2 linked regions of the Schizosaccharomyces pombe genome follow. The protein of the gene in region 1 binds, or shares a complex with, the protein of each later gene. Each region holds a gene or a part of one and is shown in the gene's direction. Other genes may lie near its edges. The genes, in order: cox6 and cox5.

What was found.
Region 2: the proteins of cox6 (region 1) and cox5 are in contact, whole or in part, in a cryo-EM structure (PDB 8C8Q), measured with the Schizosaccharomyces pombe proteins. Residues at the interface, in NP_593931.1 of Schizosaccharomyces pombe: Ala90 (codon at 5,229), Arg91 (codon at 5,232), Asn94 (codon at 5,241), Asp95 (codon at 5,244), Phe96 (codon at 5,247), Pro97 (codon at 5,250), Thr98 (codon at 5,253), Ala99 (codon at 5,256), Val100 (codon at 5,259), Arg101 (codon at 5,262), Glu104 (codon at 5,271), Glu129 (codon at 5,346), Leu130 (codon at 5,349), Gly131 (codon at 5,352), Ile132 (codon at 5,355), Val133 (codon at 5,358), Lys135 (codon at 5,364), Leu138 (codon at 5,373), Phe139 (codon at 5,376); in NP_588158.2 of Schizosaccharomyces pombe: Gln74 (codon at 7,287), Lys75 (codon at 7,290), Gln76 (codon at 7,293), Pro77 (codon at 7,296), Trp78 (codon at 7,299), Thr79 (codon at 7,302), Ile83 (codon at 7,314), Lys86 (codon at 7,323), Lys87 (codon at 7,326), Ala89 (codon at 7,332), Tyr90 (codon at 7,335), Ala93 (codon at 7,344), Phe94 (codon at 7,347), Arg100 (codon at 7,365).

Annotation. Positions count from the first base shown.
Region 1 is NC_003424.3:2,809,818-2,820,127, forward strand, and holds cox6 (cytochrome c oxidase subunit VI), read left to right. Parts: upstream 1-4,475; 5' UTR 4,476-4,550; coding exon 4,551-4,699; exon of another isoform or gene 4,700-4,782; intron 4,783-4,935; exon of another isoform or gene 4,936-5,110; coding exon 5,111-5,384; 3' UTR 5,385-5,678; downstream 5,679-10,310. Other genes in the region: elo2 (putative GNS1/SUR4 family protein), read right to left, coding at 1,621-2,551, 2,595-2,647; SPOM_SPAC1B2.06 (uncharacterized protein), read left to right, coding at 2,966-3,220; MCM complex subunit Mcm5, read left to right, coding at 6,125-7,806, 7,848-8,220, 8,261-8,368; plasma membrane potassium ion transmembrane transporter Trk1, read right to left, coding at 8,439-10,310. UniProt on the Schizosaccharomyces pombe protein: Component of the cytochrome c oxidase, the last enzyme in the mitochondrial electron transport chain which drives oxidative phosphorylation.
Region 2 is NC_003421.2:1,350,799-1,359,212, forward strand, and holds cox5 (cytochrome c oxidase subunit V), read left to right. Parts: upstream 1-6,995; 5' UTR 6,996-7,067; coding exon 7,068-7,628; 3' UTR 7,629-7,914; downstream 7,915-8,414. Other genes in the region: ado1 (adenosine kinase), read right to left, coding at 1-286; COG complex subunit Cog4, read right to left, coding at 1,195-3,411; proteinase B inhibitor Pbi2, read right to left, coding at 4,478-4,711; efm2 (methyltransferase Rrg1), read left to right, coding at 5,528-6,439; ctp1 (CtIP family endonuclease), read right to left, coding at 8,093-8,284, 8,329-8,414. UniProt on the Schizosaccharomyces pombe protein: Component of the cytochrome c oxidase, the last enzyme in the mitochondrial electron transport chain which drives oxidative phosphorylation.

The DNA of each region.
Region 1 (10,310 bases):
TGCTCTTTTCCAAAATGAGTTCTCCAAACTCGTTTACGAATGATTCAATATATAGATTTAACTGCAAATAATTTCAAAAATTGCTTAGCTTTGGATAAAAAATTAATAAAAGAAGTCGTTAACCTTCATCAATCCTTTGAATTCTGGTAAATTAACAAACTTTTTGGTACCAAAGTGTGATGGCTTATAGTAAGGTATCACCAACTTGAAGGTATGATACGCACAGAAAGCAATGGACCCAAAAGTTACTATACACCAAATTCTGCAAAATATTATTACGACAATCACTAGACATTATTAAAAAATCTACTAAATTATCTTAATGAAAATTGGTAACAACTCAAGAACAAACAGTTAAGTTTGCTGTGCGCCTGCTTTGAAAATGAAAATCAATAACTGGACGTACAATCCAATAATAAATGTTTTATACTTACATTTCAATTCAAATTGTCAAACACAAAAATGCAAATCTTATATCTCCACAATGACTAAAAGCAAGAATTTAAAACTAAAACACTTCAAAAACGACCATACAAAGTCGGTTCAATACATGCACAAATAGTTGTTGAAAGCACATACATAAGTATATATATCTATATTTATATAATGATCATCCTTCAAATGCCATTCAACTCATTCTGATCCACTGAAACAACAAACCAAAGTTTACGCGAGCAATTAATACATGATAGACGATAATAATATGTACATTAAGGTAAATGCCTATCAAACTCACAAGTAAAAGAATATGAGAAAACTTTGTAGAAAGTTAGGAAAAAAGGAACACGTAGAAAAAGGAGCGTTCCATCGAGCTTGAAATATCCGTCCAAACTTTACTAACTTTTGTTCAAGTAGATTGGGGTTGTTTTAGAAACAAGAAATTATTACTTTGAACTAGACGCAAACCACACGAACTAGACAAAAGATGTTAAAAAGAATGGAAATATTTGGCAGAAAGGAAAAGAACTCGAAACGCGACGCATCCCTAATTATCGAATGGTAAATAGAAAGAGAGAACGCAGAAACTTGAAGATGTCGAAATGTCACCCAATATACACAAAAGAAAAGGGAAATGAAGAACGAAGGCACATAAAGAAGCAAACGACTATTTTAACCCGCTTTCTATTTTTCTTTAAAAGGATGTCTTAAATACTATTAAGACCATAGACATACGGGTAACAAATCGATGCTTGCAATAACTAAATTAAGATAAAAAGCACCCCATAAACCAATTGCAATTTATGTCTCAGGAATTAGAGAAATATTAAACAGAAGCAGACATACGCTGAAACCCATGCATTCCCACCGTTTCAAGCAAAGAAATAAATCCGCCATCTAAATTTTTAAAGAAAAAAAACTGAAAGTAAAAAAGAAAGAAGAAATGACGACCCTAGAAGAGCCGTGCATAAGAGTAAAATAAAAAAAACCAAAAGCAAGGAACTTTTAGATGGCTGGAAAAAATGATATTTTCCAATTTCAATCCCAAAGTATCGTCTTTTGAGTTTTTTTCCTTGTGAAAAAGATGACGACGGTACCATGAAATTGGACTACGCTTAAGAAAGTTTGAAAATACAAAAGAAAGCTAAACAAGGGTCTGCACGCCGTACACATTCCTCTCCATTAGAGTTTCCTTGAGCGAGCAGAAAAGGGAGAAGCATTAGTAGCAGTGGTAGCGGCTAAAGCTTCAGAGCCAGCAGCGGCAGCAACAGAGGTGTTATCTGCCTTACCGGCGGCTTTCCTTTGATTTTTTTTGGCACCGCGCTTGATGTAGGTATTAATGTAAAAACCAATGAAGAGGAATAAATAGGACGAAAGAACACCGCAACCAAAGAAGGCGGCAAAGAGAGAACCAGAACAATCACCGACATGGGGAAGCCAAGGGAAGTAACGGAAAGCAATGTGGGAGTAGGTACCAAAGTAGCAGAGGATGAGATCAAGGACGAACTGAATGATTTGAACACGGGTAACCCATTGCTTCCACCAAACTCTACGGCCGCAAGCAGCAAGGAAGTAGTAACTGTACATGATAACATGAACGTACAAGTTCAAGCCAATAACACCCCACTGGACGGAGGTGCGACCGAGAAGTTGAGTAAAGCACAAGAGAGCCGTAATACCATGGTGGTAGCAATGGAGAAAGGCAAGGGGTTTCTTCTTCAAAAACAAGAACACCGTATCCATCAACTCCAAGTACTTGGTCAAGTAATTGAGGTAGTACAAGGTAACCAATCTCTGCGTAAAATGACGAGAATCGCAAACGCAGTAGAAGAGACCGTTACGCATGTAGTTGCGAAAAACCTCTTCTACCAACAAAGCAAGCAAAGCTCCACTGATGATAGTCAAAATGAAGTTGTGAAGTTGAAAAAGACGACGTTGTTTCAAAGGTTTGCGATTTGTCATGATCGCTCGACCACTCAAAATGATAACATAGTAAGCGGTAATGGATACAATTACGCTCGACCACTGAGACATGGGAGTTTTACCCGGGATGTACTCAAATTCAGAGGGATTCCATCCTATAGTTTTGATGCTCAGTTGCTCAAACAAATGCCTATTCCAAAGTTAGTTTTAATGCATAATTACGCTTTGCTTACCATAGGTCCACTCCAAATGGATGGTCAATGCTGGGTCGGTGAATTTTCAACATGTGTGCTCCGGTTAGATCCATTCTCCGCTGAGAAGACAAGGAAATCAACACATGTACACAATAAATATTTGAGTTTGAATTTTAAAATATTTTTTAAAATATTCTAAAAATTATAATTTCTAAATTTTAAATCCCATATGTGTATAATTTGACATAACCAGCCCTTCCCGGCATCTTGCCATCCTCTTTTTTTTTTTTTTTTACTAGTCCGTTCCGATGGAACTGAAGAAAGGCAGGTCACAAAAAAAAACTAATCACTGCAAGTAAACAAACAAGTTACATTCTACTCAATCGTCAAACAAACGTATTGACCCATGGATGCCCAAAGCACATCCAAAATGTGAAATCTTGGAGCCCTCTGAACTCCTAACTTTTACAAAAAGCTCTTCTTATTCTTCTTATTTTTTCGCACGACTATGTGCGATCGTGCAAAGCATCTGCTGTACGATACGTGTGTGCGCAATTATTTTGATCGATTATAGACTACTAGTTTTCACGATTGGTCCTCATCATAAGATCAATGGCGAAAGGTGGATTCTCAATTTTCCACCTTCCGTGAAAGTATGTCTTTAAAAAATTCATTTATTAACATTTGCAAAACAAATACCTGCAACTGCCTCAGTTCTTCATACTTTGTTTTCCATTCCGTTTTCCGGTTCAACAAATTTACGTTACCTATACTGGCCCAACCAAGTGACATTGTTATTTTTTTATTTTTTTTACCAATTAAATTGAACCAATTTTACCACAAAAAGCACATGCTACTCAGATAAGTAACGCATTCCCAAAAGTAAACAAAAGACGGAAAAGAGATGGGTTGGGCATTTACAAGGGTAGCTGAACTGATGCTTTAGTAAAAGTGTTTATTGAAGAATGGAAATTTTAAAAGTCAGTTTTTCAAGATTCCCATAAATTTTGGTAGATATTAGAAAATCTTACTAGTGAGTGAGATTGATGGTGACATAAACATTCAAAAGCCAAGCAATTTTAGAAAAAAGAAGTAATATGAAAAAGAGATAAGTTAATAAAAAAAATGCATATGAATATTAAAAATTTCGTACGTTATCCACACTCTTAATAAAAAAGGTTAGATTGTCCAACAATTTTTTTGTAGCAGTCAATTACAAGTGAAAAGAAAAGTATTCACTTCACCAATCACCGATGGCTTCAAAAATTGATTGAGTAGCCCTTCGACATCTCTCATTGAACTTTTTTTCGGATTATGTTTTCCTTCCATTTGGTACTCCTAGAGTATTAGTGGAGCTAGAATGCTTAATCCTTCGAATAGACCTGCCTATAGAAAGTACATCTAAAACTCCAACATGAGTTTCAATTCACTTGAATTTGTATCTCTGACATAACTATTTAAATGAATATCTATCAGCAAAATGTCTTCCGCTAAATATAAAACAGATGAGAATTTTCATTCTACAGCATAGTAAAAGTCATATTTCTCTAATTAATGAAACAGCTGTCTTGTATAAACACTCCAGTTTAATTGAGCTTGCTTGAAAATTCCATGTCGAACTAATACTCTACATAACAAGTAAATACTTTAAAACTAAGAAAATCATTTCATAGCAGTAGACCTTTAGAAGCTACAATAACATGGAATGCCCTTAGTCTGTGAGCCGTAAATCTTCATTTAAACACGGCTCTCAATAATCGATCTGTACAGATTACTCACAACCAAGTGCAAAACATATTTATATAAAATTACAGTCATTAGGTTTTCTTCATCCTACTTCTAATATAACTGAATAGCTTTTTTCTTGAATACATAGTCTATACTAGAAAACTGTTTGCTTCTTGATATATTACAAACCTTAGCGTACTACTACTTCCATCTACTCTCCACTCCCCTTCACTTTTATTTAGCAAGAAGCAATTCTAATTCATTATAATGAAAGCAGTTCAACGTATTTTTCAAACTGGCCGCTTTTCTGTCGCCGCAGGACCCTCGGTTCGTTTTCAAGCTGGGTTTTTAGCTGCAAACAGACAAGTTCGTTTTTCTAGTAACCACGGGGTTTCCTTGGAAGAAATAAACACAAAGTATGTAAAAAAACGACGATAAGGGAATAGGTAATTGTTCGGCATGTTGCAATGCCTGAAAAGTAACTCCATTCAGCACTTTTATTATCAAATGCGGAAATAGGAATGCTGGGAACTGCAAAGAATAAAATGAACACGAAAGCAGTCTGTTTTATCATTGACTTTTGAGTACCCAATACTGAAAGTGGTTTGAATATTTTCATTTTAGCATCTCTAGAATGATAGTAAATGAGCGTTCATAGCTATTTATTTGTCTGCTATTTTTTGTTCTTTTCTCAGTTTTCACGTTTTTAGTTTTTACACAAGAAAAATTGACCATTTTTCCTTCTTTGGAAGCTTATTCTTACTTCTGCTCTGCTCTGCTTTTCCTTTATTTAAAATTTCTTGTTTTACTGTTTACTAACTACGTAGGTATAACGATTTCTTTTCAAATGTTCAGGATCAATTTGAGCTCCAAAGAGGCCTAAATAATTGTTTTGCCTACGATATCGTGCCTTCTTCTGATGTTATTGAACAAGCTTTACGTGCTGCTCGTCGTGTTAACGATTTCCCTACCGCCGTAAGGATTTTCGAAGGTATTAAAGTGAAACTACCAACCAAAGAACAGTACCAAGCGTATGTTAAGGAGCTTAAGCCTGTTTGCAATGAATTAGGTATTGTATTGAAGGAGGATCTTTTTAAGTAAGTCCGATTAAGTTTCTTGATCTGTCTCCTCTTCTTTTGAAATTTGTAGCTCTTTACCACAACTCTCCTTTTCTTGGTGCTTAACTATGATTTGCGTTTTTCAAAGGACTTTAAAAAAACTGATTTACTGATTTTGATTATCATCACTTTTTTTCTGTCCGCACGCAATGATGTTTCTTTAGGATTAAGAAATTATCAAATAAAAATGCCAATACCATTTCTCATACAAACAGAATTGCTATAGTAATCTTATCTCTTTTTCTTTTTTAAGTCTAGTATAGCAGTGAATCTGTAACGATATACATCTTCATTTTGTTCACGTAGAAAATAGCTTGCAGTTAATACATGTTTACTTAAAATGTTAAAAAAAAAATTGTAAGCAGACTATCTCCTTTTAACAAAAGATTTAAGGGTGTAGTTGAAGTTCGTTTCAGCAAGGGCAATATGTATTAGTCCTTTCACCAAACACCACAGAGGTTGTTCAATAATATATTTTACAGCATTACATTCGTTTCTTCACGCGTAAAATATTTATTGCAGTTACATGTAATTTAAGAACATATTTATATCATTTTTGCAACTCATTCTGTAAAGGTTTTGAAGAGCTTTTCTAATTTTTGTTTTATTTTTTCGAAGAGCAGCGAAATTTGCTTCATCCTTTATTTTATACCATATCATCTTTTTTATCTCGCTTTTTTATTTTTTTTTAACTCATTCCCCTTAGTCTTTTTCATCACAATAATGGCTGCAGCAACAGGTTGGGAACGGAGTGCTGTATATTATACCCCAGTTCTCCCAGGAGAGCAAGAATTAGATTCCAATGTTAGTCATGAGAAGAATTTCATACAGTTTATTGAAGAATTTGTGATTGACAATGACTTTATCTATCGTACTCAACTAAGAGACAATCTCGTGGTAAAACAATACATGTTGAACATAGATCTTAGGCACCTGATCAGTTATAACGAAGATCTAGCTCATTTGCTTCTGAGTCAGCCGACAGATATTCTACCTCTGTTTGAGTCTGCTGTCACTACAGTTGCTAAACGCCTACTTTATAGAAGTCAAGAAAATGCTTCTACGAATATCCCCACTTGCCAGGTAACTCTACGTTACGATGCTAACATCCTTCCAATCCGTAACCTGACAGCTTCTCATATCTCAAAACTGGTTAGAGTGCCTGGTATCATCATCGGTGCTTCAACACTTTCCTGCCGTGCAACTGCTTTGCACTTAGTATGCAGAAATTGTAGGGCTACCAGGATTTTACAGATTTCTGGTGGATTTTCAGGTGTTCAGCTTCCTAGAGTTTGTGAAGCTCCTGTTCTCGATGGTGAAAAAAAAGACTGCCCGATGGATCCTTTCATTATTGATCATTCAAAATCGACTTTTATCGATCAGCAGGTGCTTAAACTACAGGAAGCTCCTGATATGGTTCCTGTCGGTGAGTTGCCTCGTCATATATTATTGAATGCTGATCGCTATTTAACTAACCAAATTACTCCGGGAACCCGCTGCGTTATTACTGGCATTTTTTCTATTTTTCAAAATAAGTCTGTTAAAGCTAGTGGTGCCGTGGCCATTCGGAACCCTTATATCAGAGTCGTGGGTATTCAAATGGATTCAAATGATGGCTCTAAATCTACTCCTTTATTTAGTGAAGAGGAAGAAGAGGAGTTCCTTGAAATTTCTCGTACTCCGAATTTGTACGATATTATATCCAACAGCATATCTCCCGCTATTTATGGTAATGTAGACATCAAGAAAGCTATTGCATGCCTACTTTTTTCAGGTTCTAAAAAAATTCTCCCCGATGGTATGCGCCTTCGTGGTGACATTAATGTTTTACTTCTTGGTGATCCTGGTACTGCGAAATCTCAATTTTTGAAATTCGTTGAGCGACTGGCCCCCATCGCTGTTTATACTTCCGGTAAAGGTTCAAGTGCTGCTGGTTTGACTGCTTCTATTCAAAGAGACTCAGTTACCAGAGAATTTTACCTTGAAGGTGGCGCAATGGTTCTTGCTGATGGTGGCATTGTCTGTATTGATGAATTTGATAAAATGAGGGATGAAGATCGTGTTGCTATTCACGAAGCAATGGAGCAACAAACTATTTCAATAGCTAAAGCCGGTATCACTACTATATTGAATTCTAGGACATCCGTTTTAGCTGCTGCTAATCCAATTTTTGGCCGATACGATGATATGAAGACACCAGGTGAAAACATTGATTTTCAATCTACGATTCTTTCAAGATTCGACATGATATTTATTGTTAAGGATGAACATGATGAAACAAAGGATCGAAATATTGCCCGTCACGTTATTAATCTTCATACCAATTTACAAGAATCTAGTGAGACTTTAGCAATTGGAGAAATTCCTTTTGATAAGTTTCGGCGGTACATAAACTATTGTAGACAGTAAGTATACCAAATTTAATATTAGTTACTAATGGATTTAGCAAATGTGCACCTAATCTTGATGCAGAGGCAGCTGAAAAGCTATCTAGTCAATTTGTCGCAATTCGAAAACGTGTTCATCAGTCAGAGCAGGACAGTAACTCGCGTTCTACCATTCCAATCACTGTTCGTCAATTAGAGGCAATCATACGAATTACTGAATCCCTTGCAAAAATGTCATTATCACCTATTGCTTCTGAAGCTCACGCTACTGAAGCGATTCGACTGTTTTTGACCAGTACACTTGCTGCTGCTACACAAAGTTCGCCTGAAGTTACTGAGGAAGTAAAAAAAATTGAAGCCAGCTTAAGAAAAAGGTTACCTATAGGGTTTCAGGCGAGTTACCGTATGCTTATACGAGAATACGTAAATGGGGTATGTTTATTGATTAAATCTAAGTCTAACATAATTTTAGCATGGATATTCACAACACGCGTTAGAAATGGCTTTACAAATTCTTTCGTCGAAGGAAACAATTCAACTCAGAAATGGCGGACAAACGGTGTATCGATCAGGAGTATGAAATTTAGCGAGCGTACTATTTATTAGATGATATAATTTACAAATATAATACATGATCGTGATAAGAAATATCAGTCTCGAGAAACTGCAATACTGCCACGTGCGTTGTCTATGGAAAATCCGTGACGACGTTGATAATCTTCTTCTTCTTTCAGATTATTTTTTTCAGAAGGAAGAAGGATGGCTCGATCAACAGCCCTGGGTAAACCTCTATGTCTACCGCGCAGTTCAAGTGCTATAATAACTAGTTTACTTATAGTAGTAAATCTTGCTGAAAGTGAACAATTTGAGGAGCTTAATCCAGTACTAAGTCCCACCGTACCGTAAGCAGAGACTACTTCAAAAAGGACAGTAAAAATACTGAAATCGGTATCTAGAGGATTGGAGATTTTACCTCCTTCACAAATGCATATGATGAATAGCCCTAGAAAAATATACCATAAATCGTAACTTAATTGTTCAGTAAGGTGATCTTTTAAGAAAGATTTCCCCTCATCATCTTCAGTTCTGTAAACACCCAAAGATCGCTCCTCATAAACATTGGTATTTCTCATGTTGATAGCAACTGGATAAACAGAAATATACATCATAACCATGTAACTGACCAGTACTGCTGGGTGAAGTTCACTAATTGATACACTCGTGAATCCTGCGGTTCTTGTACAAACTGATTGAAATATTGCATTTACAACCCTAATACCTTTAGGAAGGCTAGCGACTGCTTTACTTCCAGTATCTAAGACCATGAACAATACCAGATCAATGACATTAAGCAGCAGCAAAACAAAAAACAAGACCCAGGTTGCTCCAGATGGAAACAATAAAGTGAAACATCGTCGAGGATGATCAAGGAGAAATGCCATAGCTTCTTTCTTCTCAAAACTAAAAGGGTATAGCTTATACGTTGTCCAAATGAATGTTCTAAAAAAACAAGGGAATCCCGTGTTACCTGCGATAATGAATAAAGATGAAATCAACAAAAGAAAAATGTTTCGATTCATTGGCACAAAAGACGATGGTATTAAAGAAAACCCCAAATCATTAAATGAAGAAGCAGACGAGAATAACGCCCACCACCCACGACGTAAGTCATAAGAATCTATTACCTCTCGCGATCCCACTGCCGTATAAGCAAAAACAATGAAGGTCACAAAGGCAGCAATATTAAAAATGATAAAATAAAGGGTAACCATGGAGCAGACGCATTTCAAAGCTCTATATTCAATTCCACCCAGCTCGTCCCGCTGTTCTTTAGACAAAGCAACGAAAGCAGAATTACGATCGACAGTAGGATTATACGACAAATAGGGAAGTGACATAGTAGTGTGTCTTGATGAAATAGAAGGCTCACGTTTTTTAGCAAAGGCAGAAGAAAGGACTCGTTCAAGAGTCAAGTTTCGTCGGTTAGAAGTGAATGACTTTGTCCAACGTATTGGACGATGAAGTCCTCGCGAAAATCTGGAACGTAAAGATTTTTTATAAAAACGACTTTTTTTTCTAAGTTTAAGATTACGTTCACGCTCTATGGTGGGCTTATTAAGTCCGGTGAAAGCAATATGCATGTCAACTGTCGATGGTTCAGTGTCTTTAGATAGGGAGGAAGAAGACAGAGACGACCTTACTATTCCGTCTATTGTATTGGCAGGCCTTAAACCACCTTCTGGGAAAAGATTGTCGTCCCCAGTGAGAGTAAATGAATCCCTCGATACAACCAAATTAGTATCAGAATAACTATAAGCCATAGGGAGAGATTCCTGAACTAAGGCGCCTTCAGATAAAGTTTCACGGGTGTCGTCAGCCTCTAAAGGATTAACGGAGGAAATAAAAGAGCTTTGTCTACGAAGTCGGGGATGAAGGTCATCCATTTCATACATTTGCATCGAGGCTGAATGCGAACTACCAAAATCGTAATTTTTATTTTCAATGGAAGGTTCATAGTCATG
Region 2 (8,414 bases), on another chromosome or scaffold:
TTTCGTTCGATTCAAGAAGCATATCAGCAAACTTATCTTGACCAACGCAGCCGGCGAAAACAGTAGAGTTAGGAGGAAGTACGTATTGAGCAGCACGGCAGCTGTTTTGAGCTGCACCACCGGCACTGTAGCTAACGCATGGCTCCTTGTAGATACCCATCTGGCTCTCAGAAGCTAAGACGGCGTCGTTGCTCTTCAAGCCATACTTTTCAAGAGTTGCAGTTTCACCACCAACATAGTAATCCAACAGAGGGTTTTCCAAACCAAACAAGATGTATGAAGACATGATAAATGATTGTAGTAAGGGAAGGGAAAAAGTTAAAGAAAAACCACGAGAAAATACACCAACAGGTAAAGTATCTTAATGTTCAAAGAGCGATATTATGGCATAATTGTAATGCGTTATATTATTAATACTATACTGCGTTAAATATCGATACATGCCATATGGTCTGTTTATCTTTCGCTATATATTGTATGGTAAAGGCATACTATTTTTAATAAACTATTAAAATTTGAGCAGCTAAAAAAATTATCAATATAAGCATAACTGTACAAGCATCCTCAATTTCAGTTATTAGCTATATTGGTGAAAAATATAATACTATGTAACTGAAGATTGACAGTGTATGTTACTTATTGTACCTGTATACTGGAATTCTAGGTCACAACTAATACTCATCGCAATTTTAACCTTCATTAAACTGATTGCAAACTGCATAATTAAACGATATAAACTGTATCACACTCCTTTGCGCCTCGGTATATTATAATCACAATACTTATTTAAGAAGGCCGATCACGAGAAAAATTAGAACTAATAAAGATTAAAAGAGTCGATATTTGATGCTATATACAATTGGTCATGAATATTAACTCCATTCCTGTATTATTTTTTTAACAAAGGGGTTGCTTCAACTTTTAGCGGAAAACTTATCAAAGTGTGGAAGAAATAATAAACTAAGATAAATGATGATCGAGTTGCACTGCGTCAGGGTAGCCGGTTGTCAAAATTTTCAATATACGAATAAAGAAATAAAAACAAAAATAGAGTGAAAAAAAAATAGATATCGGCATCATGCTAAACGTGGAGACGATGATCCGCCGTTTTTTAGGATAAATTTAGGATATGACAGGAGATTACAACTAAAGAACTTTTGGTGCTTCTTCAAATATCCTGAATAAAAAAGGTCGTTAATCTTCACCTTGAACATTCGCTTTCTTTTCCATAATAGCGCTAACAATATCTATGGATAGTAGCTGTAGGTTTAAATCGTTGATCAATTGCTCTGGGGCTGTAGAATCACTTTCCCATACTAATAAGATTAGAATTTCTTGCAAACGCTCAAAGCTATGTCGGAGATTAGCTTGATCATTGGAAAAGATAGTAATTAAGCTAGAAATGTCGTTTTCTAATGCCATAGCACCATAATCATTCCACTGAATCTTATATAGTATGAGGTTTTCTATATAACTTGCAGCTTTCTCGCATGCCATAGAGCGTAAAGAAAGCTGATTTTCAGGAGTAAATTGCTCCAGCAACAAAACCCTGTCCCAAACGCTGCGAAGACGGGTAACTACCAGTCTTTCATGTTCTGTCTCCTTCGTATAGTCTTCATAGGACAAGACATAGTTGATTCCATCAAAGGAATCATCGATGCATTGCTCAATTCGGGGTAATAAAAATATCGGAAAGTACATGTTGAAAGAAGTCTTGCAAAGATTTTCAAAATTAACGGTTAGCTGCAAAAAATTATCAATCGATTTCTTTACCAATTTTTGGTCTTTGGCAAAGGCAAAAACTTCTTCCAACCGACTAGAAACACCATCCACAATTGATTTTAGATATTGCTTGCTGAGTGAAGCACTATTTACCAATGTTATGTAGTTTTCGACTTGTTTGGCGGGAATGCTATTTGCATTCTTTAGCCTCTGGAACTGAGCTTTTATAATGTTACAGACAGTTAAAAGATTATGGGAAAGGTAGACATAGTAATCATTTCTTAAAATAGGGATTAAGCTTTCGTTAACAAATCTGGTGAAGAATAAAGAGGAGACTGTAAAAAACGCACGTTGGAATACTTGCTTCGTAACGTACATGACATCGTCTACAATAGAGCTCATCCATGGGGAAACCTTTGTGTAATATTCCTCAAGTTCCAAAGACGTTTCTATACTTCTCCTGAAATAGTATGTTTCTAATTGTAATAAGGATGGAAGAAGTTGCTTTTTTAACAGAAGTTCCATCTTTGAAGAATTGAAAATAGATGCACAAATAAGATTGTCCTGGACAGATGGATCATTCGAAGTACCATCAGATTGGGACAATCGAAGGACAAGACGGCTAATAAATATTTTTGAGATATTCCATTTGGAGACAATGGCTGACATTTCATTCAAAATCGGATGTAGCGTTTGAAGAGAGACCCTTTCTAATTCCTTTTGATCCGAAACAAAGGCACGATTTTTCAACTTCGCATGTAACAAAATGTATTTGTAAGAAGCTATAGAGCTTACGAGGTTATCAATTCTTCTCACGTCAAACATGGTATTCACGATAATGGAACCTTGGCGATCACAATCACCTTGCAATTTTTCAATAACGGTGATGGTGTTTTTGGCCTTGTAATATTTTTGAACAAGAGGCGTATGTGCGCGTATGATAGAAGCAACATGCTCGACCAGTCCGGTAAATGCCTGTGCAAAAAAAAGAGCATGAGTAGGGGGCTCATCGAGAGTGGCCCTAGCTTTAGAAGCAATAATTCCACCAAAAAAATGCCAATAAGCTTCTAATCCTTCCTTTTCTTTGCCGATCAAAGGGAAGAGTTTGAAGTAACGAGTGATTTCTTTTTGATCCTGATTTCGGGCGGCCTTATGGAATTCCCGCCAAAAGAGAGTGTGTAGAGATTCGGTGATTTCTTTTAAGGTGTCCATGGGCGCTAAAGGTTGCTCAGCTGTGGGAACAACGGCATGTGCAAATTTCCCTTCGATGATAGCCGGCGATGTGGAGCTTGCTCGATGTACTAAATCAGCTGCTTTTTCCCATTGTTGGTGATGCATAGCTCTGTTGAGATCCTGCAAACATTCTTTGAAATCTCGGACTTGACGAACAAATAAAAGACACTCTTTTATACGATTCTGTTCTCTATCGACCGATTTGATTCTCTCAATGACCTCCTCGCTAACGATAGTGGTATTGCAAAAAGCATCTTTAAGCTCTTCAATCTGACCTACAAACAGCACTAGACGTTCTGCCATATTCTTGATTAAAGAATTGAACTTCTCAGTCGGCTGTGCATCGCTTAGCAGCCTTTCCAGCTTTTCGTCGGTTCGTTGGGATTCGACTTGTAAGTCATGAAACCGTTGTTTAATTTGCGAGATATCAGTGCAGTCATTGATGGATATGTCCATTGTACACTCATTAAATAAAGAAAGACTAAAACGCGTTCGCAAATTATCTCAAAAAATCTACGAGGTTGTGAATATTAACCGCGCAAAATAACAATTAAAAAACTCAAAGTAAGAGTGAAAGAAACCAAAGTAAGGGTTGTCGTCAGTTGATTTTCGAATTAATTAATTTTTAAATAAATTAGTAAACCTTGCAACGTCTCCCATTCAACTTGCCAAATGCCGCACAATTGACTCCTACTAAAAAAAGAGTTACTGAGTGCATTGCAAATGGTCAACTTTACGATATCATACTATTCCAGTAACTAATAATTAACGAGACGATAAATATCATTATTTGACAGAACGCAACATCGCAGACTCTAATAGCGAGAGTTCGCTGTTGTTCTTTAAATGTTTGATGTGAGGCAGGAAATATAGGAGAGTATATTTTGTTGTGCAATCATTCATTCTTATAGTACAACTGTAATAAAAAGTCATGGAAGAGCAATTTCCAAAAGCTGTATTTTAAAAATTTACGGTTTTCTGCTACGCCTCGTTGTTAAATACAAATCCATGTTTTTCGAAATTTCAGCATATTTGTCACCAATGTGATGGCCAAACAACAACTCACAAAGAAGGTAGTCTATGTTAAACATCTCAGTTCTACCTAAAACATACTCATGTATACCCCCTTCTAAGAATTGCTTCTCTTTTTCTTTATTTATTTATTTTCACCTTGAATCCTTTACTCGATTTCCCACTGCTGTACCAATATTCCTCTCCTCGTCCAAACAACTAGATCTTTATGGAAGTTACTACTGGGAAGCGAATATTACTAAGACATTACAAAAATGTGTGTACTATTTTACGGTCGAATTGGTCGACACAAAGAAATGGTAAAACGCGACCGACCTACTAATTAATTCTAAAAAAAATCATCAAATTAACAATTGGTATTTGTTTGATCATAACGATGTATATGAAATGTCATAAAGTACTTGAGTGTAGAAACGCATGCGTGCGACGAGTGACGAGCTCAACTATAAGCAATTGATATGGAGGCGAAACTTTCTGTAAGGAGAGAAATCTAATCCTTCTTCATAGTATGCATCTCTTGGTCAGGCTCAAAATGTTGAATTTCAGGATGAGCAGACAAAGCATCTACTGCATTCTCAGGAAGAGAAACGCTGAATCCCTTAAATACGGTATCATAAGTATGACCAATTTTAGCACCAGATGCCTCTAAATCAGATTTTATTTTATCCATCGATGCAGGATCAACAGAATCTTTCAATTGAACGATATACGACTTTTGACTCATGGCGAAATAACGAAGGCGAAAAAAACAAGGAAAGTAGCGTTTCAGATTTTTTAGCTGTACTTAAAATTCACTTAATTGTCAAAAAATGAACAAGCTTATGTAGTACAGATAAGAAGGAATTGAGCGCAAAGGGGAAAAGGCTGGTTTATATAGCATTCGCCATGTGCATTACGTAGGTCAGCTTATCTAAATAGAACGGTTGTGCACATTGCTTGCTTAGCCAATTTATTAGCTCTTTCTCTTTCAGTATACTTTTTAACGAAAGTCAAAAGAACTTTGGTAAAATAAATAACAAAATATATATTACATTTTCGTATTGTACATTGAGAAGGCTATTGCATTTGCATATAGGGACACAATATTCCTCATTATTCCTTTTTTTCACGCAGTGTAGACAACGCGGTCTGGAAAAGACATACATCCATTGGAATTGAGTTGTATTTTTGGGATAGGCGGTTGAGTGAGAATGAAATTGAGAAATTAGATGCTTTAATAACCAGTGCTTTTAAATTGCTTCTTGCTTTTTGATCAACACCGTGATTTCACTCCTGCGAGGTACATGTTACCTAGCTTTGATCTAATTTGAAAAGTTGGACTCATGGATGGTAAAGAGAGAAATTTCGTTTTATCCATACTTAATCATAGTATGTCTCTCACGCATACTCTCACATAGGTAGTTAATTGGGATTCTCATTTGTTTAAAATTTAGCTGGTTTGCAAAGGAAAACAGGTTGACTCCTGTCTTTTTTGGGTCTTTGGGATTTCTTTTGTTTTTGCTTTTTCGTCTCTGGTTTTGGGTATTTTAAAAAAATCACAATGATTTTAGAAGACACGGATCTACCTTTAAGTCACGAACAGCCTTCTTACTCTCAAATTAAAGATGTTTTGGACAAAATTCCTACTGGGGAGCACTTGTGGGACCTTCCTAAGTATGAGGAGAAAATAATCCTCAATTGGCTTATCAAGCTCTTAGCTACAAATTTGGAATGGATCACAGTTGAAGAGGAACGAGACTATTTGGTTAGCACGATTTGTGAACGAATTGCAGAGCGTAGTGGTAGACTTGCAGCTCCTACTAGGAAGAGGGAATTTTCCCTTTCAAATGGTGTTTCTGTAGTTCTTCGAGAGCCCACTATGACCTATAATACTTTAGGATTTAAAACATGGGGGTCTGCTCCCTTGCTTTCAGCAAATCTTCCCAAATGGGAAGATTTGAGTAATTCCATTAACGCGCTAGAATTAGGGGCTGGGACTGGGCTTGTTGGCATTAGTGCAGCCATTCAATTAGGATGGCAAGTTGTATGTACAGATCTACCAGATATAGTAGAAAATATGCAGTATAACGTTGATTACAATTCTGAACTTATCCAGCAATATGCGGGTTCAGTAAGCTGTCATGTATTAGATTGGATGAATCCCCCAGATGATGATAACCGACCATCATGGCTTATTAAACCATTTCAACGGATTATAGCAAGTGATTGTATCTATGAAACTCATTTCGGCGAGTTAGCCATTGCACTGTTTCGTAAATATTTAGCTAAGGACGGGATTGTTATCACAGAGTATCCACTTCGCGAAACACATTTGGAAGAAATAGGTGTGTTTGAAAAGGGAATGGACGCCGCCGGATTTGAAAGACAAATGGGAGAAGAAATTGGTGAAGAAGACTTTGGCTCTCTATACCCAGTAACTTGTCGTTGGAGTAGATGGAAATACCATGGATAACTTAAAATGTATCAATCTATAGGTCAAACCATGTTGCAAACTAGAAAAAGCGAGCCAAAATAATTGGGTTTTATTTTTTCCTTGTTTGAATAATTTTAGATTTTAATAGCAAAGCAATAGATTCTTTTGTATTATTTACAGTATCAAAGGGAATCACTTTTGGTTTTAAAGCTGGCTTTTTGAGCCCGCTTTTTTCTGTTTAGAGGAACGAAATTGCGTAGGTTGGTTTAGATCAACAGGACATCGATACTGAATTACGGTTTAGTAGAAAATCTATTTGAGAAAGTTACCGATTGTTTTCTTGTAAATACTTTTTTATCCTTCCGCGTTCATTCAAAGCAACACATTAGTATCGTTTCGTCTCTATGAGCTTTCATAGTTATTTTCTACAAATTCAAACGGAGGACTAGAAATTAGAAAGTAGAATTAACCATAAACATTTCACTTACCCTTCGTACTTTCGATCTTTAATCAGCATGCGAAGCTAAACCCTACCCTAATTTCTCCGACAGTGTGCCAATGGGACTCCCGAGGATTGGCGTTGGCCTTCTTCCTTACACACCCAAATTCCCCCTCTCTCTATAATTCGATCTTTTTAGCATTAAATTATTGAATTAAGCTAATAATTATGTATCTTTCAAAAATTATCTGCAAAAAAGTGCCAATGAAGCTTCTCTGCACTCGCAATGCTGCTACTGTGAGTGCTGCTGCTACCAACGCTTTGCAGAAAGAGCAGCCTTCCGGAGAGGCCATGATCGCTCGTCCTCGTTTGGTTGATTTGGACAAGCGTTGGGGTATTATGTCTCAGGAGGAGAAAGACGGTCTTATCACAGATTTGTATGCTCGTCAGAAACAACCCTGGACGACACTCTCCATTGAGGAAAAGAAAGCCGCATATTGGATTGCTTTTGGTGAACACGGTCCTCGTGCTTTCAGCCACATTAGTCAAAAGACAGTTTTTTGGGGAACTGTCGCTGGTTTAACGATCGGTGTCGTATTGTTTGGTCTCATCCGCACTCAAGCTGCTCCTTCTCCTCGTACCATGACTCGTGAATGGCAAGAGAAGTCCAATGAGTACATGAAGGAGAACAAGATCAACCCTATTAGTGGTGAAGCTAGCGAAGGGTTTAAGGGACGTGGTCAAATTTCCGGTGGTATTTTCTCCCCCTCCGAAAAGGACAAGAAATAAGAAATTCCCACATTTTGAGTTCAATAAAGTTTCAGCATGATCTGGGTTTCTTTTTGCTTAGTCAAATGAAAATTTATTTAGTTGTTTTATTTCTTGAGCCTAACTCGACTTTCATGGTAAGATGCTACTTCGTCGGACCCACCATTATCAGGTACTGGAAGGTTTGACTTTGCTACATTCGCTTCTTTTATTTCTAAAAACGAGTTTTAATTTATCCCCCTTTCTAATGAAAATTTCAGCTTATCGTGAATAAGTCCGGAATATAGTAAATCGTAAATTCATTGCTTTGCTGAATGTAGTTGATTAACAATTGGGGTAGTGAACGCTAATCGAAGTTCGAATGCTTATTGTAACGTTGTAAGCTTCATGCTAATGATCTCTGAATACATCTATGTACACGGTTGGCGTATCAATTTATTTAGACAAGTTGTCATTGGATGAAGTTTCACAATCATTATTTAGTTTTAATCTACAAAATCACTTTCCCAAAAACCATTTGGAATAGGTTTGGGGATGTTTAATTTTCGATGCCGGCCTACTTTTTGCACCAAAGGTTGATGCTTACAATTGGGTAAAGAGCCACCACCCAAGCGGTTTTCGTCATTCCAAGTAGGCGCAACGCTGCTTTCTTTGACTGGACCATGTAACTCATAGAACTAAAACACCAATTAGTAGGGAAAAAAGCCAAAAATACTCTTACCTTTTGGCAATCCGGACATTCGTAAGCAGGAAGTGCTTTACGTTTATTACCTCGAATAACATCATCGTTTAAAAATTCAGGCTCAA